Linked DNA regions of Cricetulus griseus. The protein of the gene in region 1 purifies or fractionates together with the protein of each later gene. This does not show direct contact. Links are inferred from orthologs where the notes say so. Each region holds a gene or a part of one and is shown on either strand. Other genes may lie near its edges.

Region 1 (4,609 bases):
CCATAGCTCCTAAACCTACCCAAACAGTGCCACTAACTGGGGACCACAAATTCACACATGTAAGCCTTTGTGGGGGGCATTCTCATTCAAATTACCATGTTCAACTTATTGGTCCCTGAAGCCTAGTGTCTATATTATAATGCAAACTGTATATAGTCCAACTCCATAAATCCCTATAGTCTCTAAATTTGGCAGGTATACAGGTCTCATATCAAAACTACTTTTCTCTATGATTTGTATTCCAATGTTTTCTAGCATTTAGAGTTGCAAGAAAAAAAATTTACGATCATAACTTGATTTCTCAGTAGTCTGGATACTTTCCCCTCCTCTGACATTGAAAATGGAGAAAACAGAAAACATCTAGATGTTTTCTCTTCACAAGAATTTAAATGTACCCCTACTAGCTTTATCCAGTGTAGGCCCAGTTCATTGTCCATCTCTGGAAAACTGTCTTCCATTCCTTCCAGAATAGTTGTTTCAACTTCATTTGTTTTGTTCTTTTTCAGGCATTCCTATTAGTTAACACACACACACACACACACCCCAAACAAAAAACTCAACGTATTAAAGGTGTGCACCACCACCCGGGACTCAACACACTTTTATTAAACACACACACACACACACACACACACACACCCCAAACAAAAAACTCAACGTATTAAAGGTGTGCACCACCACCCCGGACTCAACACACTTTTATTAAACACACACACACACACACACACACACACACACACACACACCAAACAAAAAACTCAACGTATCCTAAGGGTACCAACACTAAACAATGTTTCAAAGCGCGCGCGCGGCGCGCGCACACCCCCCCCCCCCACACACACGGACACACACAGACACACACCCCAAACAAAAAACTCAACGTATCTACACTAAACAATGTTTCAAAGCACACACGCACACACACACACACACACACACACACACAGACACACAGACACACACACACACAGAGACACAGACACACACACACACAGACACAGACACACACACACACACACACACGGACAGACACACACAGACACACAGACACACAGACACAGAGACACACACAGACACACACACACACACACACACACAGACACAGACACAGACACACACACACACACACACACACACACACACACACACACACACACACAGACACACACACACACACACACACACACACACACACACACACACACACACACACACACACACACACACACACACACACACACACACACACACACACACACACACACACACACACACACACACACACACACACCCCAAACAAAAACCTCAACGTATCCCAGCGAAGGGTACCAACACTATGTTTCAATGTTTCAAAGCACAAATTGAAAGCTGCGCGTTCGTGACGTCATCTCAACGCGCCTCCCATCAAGGCCAATCGCCTGGCGCGTAGCCTGGCGCTTTGGAAACTCGCGCGCCAGGAGCGTGTTCCGTCGCGGAGTCTCAGCTTCCGGCGCGCAGTCCAGAGCGGTGCGAATGCGCAGGCGCTCTGGCTCATGCCGGCTTCTCCGGGTTTCAGTGGTTAGCCCTGGATCCGGAGCCGCCTTGAGGCGGGGCTGGGCCTTGGCGGCGGCCAATGGCGCCCGGGGTGAGGGTTGAGGGGTGGGAGGTGCTGGCCTGCTTGCCGTGTGCCGCTCGTCCGGCGCGTGTGCCCGGCCACCTGGTCGTCATGGAGGAGGCCTTGGTAGAAGAGCTGGACGATGAGGAGCAGCTGGTGAGAAGGCATCGCAAGGAGAAGAAGGAGCTGCAAGGTGACGGCAAAGGGGCTGGGAATCTAAAGGTCGTCCCCACCCAGGGCTGGGAGCGTGGCGTGTGACCCCGAGGACCTGGAGGGGCGACCGGCCTGCAGCCTGGATTTCCCCGCAGATAACTTTGGTGTGTCTTCTCCAGCCTTCCCCGCTCTCTCGGACCCCCGTTTGCAGTCCTCGGAGGTGTCCCGTTGGGCTGCCTGCAGTGCACCCCGAGGCGGTGCTTCGCTTTTGCTGCTGGTGATGTCCCTGGAGGCCGAGGTCTTGGCCCTCCTCTGCCACCCTTCCCATTCCTGCCTGGTTCCGAACACTTGACCTTAATGGTGTGCTCAGAATTGCTTTTCTTTATTCTTATGGTCGCAGAAGAGCTATTTGAGAGGCAGAAGTTGTGTAATTTACAATTTAATAATTGCTTTTCTTAACTTTATTTTGCCCCGTCAAACCAAACATTCATGGCGGTTGTGTTTAAGAGGTGTATGTTGAATCTCAAGCCTCATCCGGGCTTTTTTCTCTGTAGCTGATTGTTGTGTCATGACTAATTGCTTCTATAATTACATTACATTCTGTAATTATGCCTCTTGACATCTTACTCCTGCTGTTCGCTCTCTCTTCCTGGTGCTCTGACACGATGGTTTTGGTAACCTTTTAGCCAAAATTCAGGGAATGAAGAACGCTGTTCCCAAAAATGACAAAAAGAGGAGGAAACAACTCACTGAAGATGTAGCTAAGTTGGAGCGAGAAATGGAGCAGAAACACAGGGAAGAACTGGAGCAATTGAAGCTGACTTTGAAGGAGAGTAAGGTATGGGGAATAAAACTTGTTTCTGAGCCTTTGGAAACAACCGTCTGTGCTTGTTGAACTCCTTACTGTGTACATTCACAAAATTGGAAGTGAAATCAAGTCATGCAGTCACATTTACACATCACATTTCAACGTTACTATTTTTTGAGACAAAGTGTTATATAGTTCAGGCTGCCACCATCTGGGTTTGTAGCAGAGGATAACCTTGAACTTTAGATCTTATTGGCTTGGCCTCACAAGTGCTGGGATGCACCACCACACCTAGCTTTCCATTTCCTCAGTATTTTGGGACCAGGTTTATTATTTCTTTAAGGGAGATGAGCAAAGAGGGAACTACTTACTTAACCTAGTGATGAATGTGTAAAGCATAAAGTGTTCTAGAGAAGGTTTCTCTTGAGTGGACAATGGAAGACTAGACTTCTTGTCAAGGATTACTGATGAATAAGATGTAGCCTCTGAAAAGTTACTCAAGCAACCCAAGAATAAATTTCTCCACTTACGACATGGTGACAATTGTTTTGTGTATGGTTAAGGTTCCTATGAAAAACAAATGGGGTGACAAATGTGAAATCATGTTGAAGTTATAAAAAGTGCTTTGTGATCCAGTTGTAATGAATGAAGTTTTAGAGATGCTTCTTGTGTAAATGGGACCGCGATAACATGCATCTTTTCAGTGTTTATCATTCGACCTAGTGGTATATGCCAGCCACTTTGTTCACTGTATGGTATCTAGTATTTCAGTTAATTGTCAGTAATACTGTAAATAATACCTGTAAAATAAATGTAGATAATCACACTTTTCCAGTAGGAAACACACTTAGAAAGATTTAAGATCTTTATCTTAAAGTCATAATAGCTACTGAATGCCAAAAGCTAGAATTCAAAACTAGGCCATCAATTGGGCAGTGACTGGCAAACATCTTTAATCCCACACTTGGGAGGCAGAGGCAGTTGGATCTGAGTTCAAGGCCAGCCTGGTCTTGAGAGTGAGTTCTAGAACAGCCAGAGCTACACAGAGAAACTCTTTCTCAAAAACTAACCAACCAAACAAAAACAAAACCAGGCTATCTTTATACCTTTGGGTAACATAGTAATTTGTTGCATAGGTTTTGGAGATGAAGAGTCATATATTCCGCAACTTTAGTTAACTGTTGTTAGGAATTTCTTAGTTCTATGCAAGATCTCATCTTCCATAAGTTTTCATTCACTTTTGTTCTGTAGACAAGGGTAGAGTGTCTTCGTGTCCATTTACACAGAGTATTAAATATAGTTTCAAAATCTTTAATTTCATTACCCAGCCATCATGTTTGTGGCCTCTCTTACTGTTAAAATACTTTTATCTCCAGCTTGGCATGGTAGTACATCCCTATAGGCCCAGCACTCAGGAGTTTGTGAGTTTGAAGCCAGCCTGGGCTACATAGCAAGACCCTTATCTCAAAACCCAAAGTGTCAAGAAAACTTTTTTCGTCAATGCCATTATAGCTCACCAGGTAAAGGGGTGCTTGCTGTTAAGCCTGATATCCAAGTTCTATCCCTAGAACCTCCACGTAAGAAAGAGAAAATTGACTCTCATAAGTTGTCCTCTGACCTCCATATGCTGTTTGACATGTGCACACACACACAGTTAAGTGTTCTGTCATGTCAGGATTGTGCTGTTCCTAATTGTCTCCTGTGTTTTCCAGTAGCAGGATGTTTTGTTTGCTCTCTTAGGCTTTCAGTTTCAAGATTTTCAAAGAGAAAGAAAAGTTTGATTCTTAACCATATTTCACTTACCCGCTAAGATGCAAATTCTCTAGTCTGCCTTGTCTTCCTTTTCATTAACTTAAACTTGTTTTCTTTTTAGTCTCTACCTTAATCTGAATTGTTTTTTTGTCAATATGATGTGAATTTTGGCAGAATTTAAAAAAAATGCAAAATAATAGATTCAGTGAAGTTGTTAAACTACTTGAAGTCTATCAGATTTTGGTAATTTTGTCACTTGCATCTGTTGCAGCTTCTTTGGGTCATATATTTATCATACTAAA
Region 2 (4,345 bases), on another chromosome or scaffold:
GGAGCCTGTCCTCCACAAAGATCCAACAGACAGACAGACTGTAGGACAGGTCTCTATATAACCCATCTACCCATCCCAACACCAGCAAGTTTGTCCCCTGGCTGGGTACTGAATTGTCAGTGCCCACCCAGCCTGCACCTGGTCCCACCTGAGCATCACCTACCTCAACCTTACAGCCACCCTACAGGCAGATGCTTTCACTGTCCCTATTTTACAGATGAGGACATTCAGGGCTCAGAGACACTGAAGGACCTGCCAAGAAGACAGCTGCTGAGTGGCAATCTGATGTGAATGGAGGTCTCAGTCCAGAGGCTGCACACTTCAAGAACTAGCAATGAGAGGTGTGTCCCAAGCCCCCCAACACCCTACCCTCTCAAAGATTAGGCCTGGCAAAAAGCAGGGCTGAAACAGGCTTCCTCCTGCCCCTCTGGCCAGGATCCCACCTTGATCTTCTGTTGATAGATGTTGTCATCCTCAGCATACTCCTTGTACAGGACTGAGAGTTCCAGCCGCTCCGACACCAGAGGATTCTGCACAGCAATCTGCAGGAGGCAGGGATCCATCATGCTCTGGCACGGAAGTTGAGTAACCCACACCTAACATCTACAAAAGGGGTTCTGGGCTGGTCATTCAGTGGCACAGCAACCCCCATAAATGCATGGAGTGCCTAGCATAGACTGGAGGGGAGGGGAGGGCTTCAAAACAGACACTAGGCCTCAGGCCCTGACTATACACCCAACCATAAAATCCTCAGATTCTGCCTCCCCAGCCTTCTCCAACCTCTCACCTCTTGTTGAATTCGGTCCTGCTGAGCCATAATGGCTTCATCATAGGCCAGACAGTTAACACCTAAAAAAAAAAAAAAAAAAAAAAAAAAAAAAAAAAAAAAAAAAAAAAAAAAAAAAAAAAAAGAAGAAGTGCCAAGCAAGGGTTACTGTGGGGACCTGGCTATCTCTATGGCAGGCAGCTTTGGCAGAACAGGTTTGGAATATGGAGCCCCGTGTCTTATATTCCACTGTGTAATCTTGGCAAAGTCCTTCCTCTTTAGGTTTTCACTTCCTGTCTTTTGGAGAAGGTAGCTGTTCCGGTATGGTGTTATTTGCAAGGGTAAATCAAGAAGACCACAAGTTCAAGGCTACTGGAGCTACACAAAGCCTAGTCTCCAAAAATAAAATAAAAGGGGGGGGGTGTAGTGTGAGCAGCACAGTGCACAGCTCTAAGTCCCAGCACTTACAGACCAGACCAGGAAGATAAAGAAGCCTAGGAGTTCAAGATCAACCCTGGAAATACACAAGGCCTTATCTTGGAAGAAAACAGGTCTGGGGTTGAGGCTCAGTGGTAGAAAATATATTTGTCCTGCAGGTGTAAGCCCTGGCTTCTATTTCTAGCAACCCGAAAAAGCAGTAAATAAAAAATGACAAGCCAGGCAGTGGTGGCGCACACCTTTAATCCCAGCACTCAGGAGGCAGAGGCAGGCGGATCTCTGTGAGTTCGTGCCCAGCCTGTTCTACAGAGCAAGTGCCAGGACAGGCTCCAAAGCTACAGAGAGAAACCCTGTCTCGAAAAACAAAAAACAAAACAAACAAAAAAGTGACAAAATAAAGATCACTATCAAGACACTCTTCCAGCCTTGCTATTCCTTTTTCCCTGATTTCTAACATTATCTGTAGCATCCTGGCTGGGGAAGGGAGTCTCTGGGGGAAAGCAAGATGAGGTGGGTGGAGCCCTAGGTGGAATGAGAGCATCTCTCCAACAAGCACTTTGCTGGGACACACCCTTTATCCTTCTGTGGTCCTATTGCTAATGGTGCTCATTTTGCAAATAACAAATGCAAAGAAGCGACTCCATCTTGCCCAAGGTCAAAACCAGTGAAGAGCTGTGGGCATGTCCACATCTGTACAATTCCAGTCTGAGCTCTTGGCAATGTCACTTGCACTGCACTGCGAAGCCCTCTACCCTTACCTGAAGAATGGATTAATGCCAACACCTTGCTCCCATCATCAAAATACACTGGGATCCTGAAAGCACCAAGTAATACTTAAGCACTCTCTAGAGGCATCCATGGATTTGGGAGGTTCATCCTGTGGACCCTACTCCAAGCAACTATTGGATAGGGGTCAGGAGACACTAATTCTAGTCCGGAATCCTTCTTAGATATATGATCGAGAACAATTTCTTTCTTCGTACCTGGGTTTGCTAGTCTAGAGTGTAGAGTTAGAGCAGGGTGTGCATGTCCAGGTTCTCAGCTGAGCCTATGTCCCACAACAGGGCGGTCCCTCCCACTAGAGAAACTTAATCCCCAGACCCCAAGTTCATGCATGGTAGACATGGAGAGGGCGTGACCGGTTTTTTTGTTTTAAGGACCAGAGAACTAGGAAAACAATGCCTGCATCTGCTAGGGGAGGCCAGACGAGCTCTAACGAAGAGGGCTGCAGGCAGCATCCCGAACGCCCCACAGGGGACTTCATGCTTGGCAGCTCGGCGTCACTCAACGCCGTTCGGCTGTTCGGGTAAGGGCGGGCGGCTCGGCCCAGGCCTAGGCCTCGGCTTGACTGCGAGGACTCGGGCAGGCTGACTTGGCGAGCCGGCCGAGGCCGCGGGACGGGTGGAGGCGGGGCGGCCCAGGCCCCGCCCCAGGCGTGCACCAGAGGCCGAGCGGCGGTCCTCACCGCCCCGCCCGGCCGGGGGTCGCTGCGGGCCTGCTTCCATTGTGAGGGGGAGGGGAGAGGAGGAGGAGGCGGAGGGCTCCGCGGCACGCTGCGCCCGGGCCCCGGCGGCCCTGCCTCCCGGAGCTCCTCGGGAGCGGCCGACCGAACCTCGCCCCCGCCAGCCCCGGCAGGACATCGTTCCCTTGGTCCGTACCTTCGGAGTCGCTGCCCAGCGGCTCCTGCTTCTGCTGCTGAGGTTCCTCCGCCGCCATCTTTAAACAGCGCCGCACTGCCGACCGCTTCCGGGTTATTAATCGCCCTCCTCCCGGAAGGGAGCCCCTCCTCGTGGCCCCTCCTTCGCAACGCCCCTAGCAACAGGCTCCCCTTGGCGGTTGTCAGGGGCTGGGCAGCTCCTGCGGGCCCTGGAGAGCCCGGGGGCCCGTGACCCCAGGAGACGCGGGGGGCGCGGGCGCGCGCTTCCACATCCCCACCCTCCTGAAGGTCATGAGGTGCTAAGGGCCCCCTGGAGTTGCTTCTGTTTTCGGTCTACTGGACTTTAGCTTTAAAACGCAGGTTGTGTAATTGAGATAAGGAGCAAGATGGAATTAAAGTCACGGAAGGCAACATCCCTTCTGCGCGTGCACTCGAGGTACACGAGCCACCAAAGCTGCAGTGCGGAGCGCGGAGCCACCACGAGACAGGAAGTGGTGCCAACATCCTGATGCCCTTCAGAGCCCTTAAATCGAGACCTCTCGCCCCTCGCCACTGAGCCTGTTCTCTGCAAGCTTTGAAGACCTGTTTCTAATAAGAGGACATCTTTCCCTTGATGTCGAACCAAAAGCCTCGACCTGGTTGAGGAAGCAGGTCCATTTAAAAGCATGGACTTAAATCCATAATCCGAACACGTGGAAGGTGGAGACAAGGATCAGAGAGTTCAAGGTAATCCTCCAGTTTCAGGACAAGCTTGGCTTCATGAGACCCTGTCTCAAAACTGGGCCCAAAAGTGACCATCCTTGCTAATTTTTACCAAAGCTTCCCCTATTCCTTGGGTTGTATCTCTAAACTGTTAAATGGGGGCAGACCAGTAGAAAAAAGAACACTCTCATTTGCAGGCCCAAGGCACCCTGAAATGCAAACACCAAACTGAATTTGCAGGAGGAAGGTGTTCATTTATTTGGTTGGTAGCCTTGAAGGGTAAATGGGCTATATCCCTAGCTGCAATGCTTACAAGCCTGGCTATAGCCAGCACTGAGCCACAAAGGGACTCCTTTTTATTCTCCAGTGTAGCAGTTCTCTGTCCTGAGCAGTCCCAACTCCAGCTCCTGTATGAACTCCCTAGTCCAGGTAACAGAGACCATGGTAGAGTTGTTTTGTAGTTCTCTTCAAGATTAAGAAAAAACTACAGGCTAGGGGGCATGGTGCACACCATTAATTCCAGCACGCAGGAGGCAGAGGCAGGTGGATCTCTTCCTCTACAAGACAGAAGCCAGCCTGGTCTACAGAAATTCTAGCTTACTGAGGTCTACACAATGAGACTCACAAAACAAACGTAAAAAGAAAAGCCAAATAGAAATCGTGTCTTTTGTTAATTTTATTGTCTTACTGTATGGGAGGCTGTATGTACCAAGAGGCTTGTGTGAAAGTCAGAGTACAACTTTAGGAAACCCATTCTCTTTCCATCTTTATATGGGCTCTGG

The links.
Region 2: the proteins of Otud6b (region 1) and Otub1 fractionate together in Homo sapiens (co-fractionation; 4 studies listed by BioGRID and IntAct, with this or other methods). This does not show direct contact. The link is inferred for Cricetulus griseus from reciprocal best matches to the Homo sapiens genes OTUD6B and OTUB1.

What each region holds. Positions count from the first base shown.
Region 1 is NC_048595.1:128,752,179-128,756,787, reverse strand, and holds the start of Otud6b (deubiquitinase OTUD6B), read left to right. Parts: upstream 1-1,628; 5' UTR 1,629-1,705; coding exon 1,706-1,787; intron 1,788-2,433; coding exon 2,434-2,585; intron 2,586-4,609.
Region 2 is NC_048596.1:52,251,823-52,256,167, reverse strand, and holds the start of Otub1 (ubiquitin thioesterase OTUB1), read right to left. Parts: upstream 3,013-4,345; 5' UTR 2,921-3,012; coding exon 2,863-2,920; intron 850-2,862; coding exon 788-849; intron 543-787; coding exon 444-542; intron 1-443. UniProt on the Homo sapiens protein: Hydrolase that can specifically remove 'Lys-48'-linked conjugated ubiquitin from proteins and plays an important regulatory role at the level of protein turnover by preventing degradation.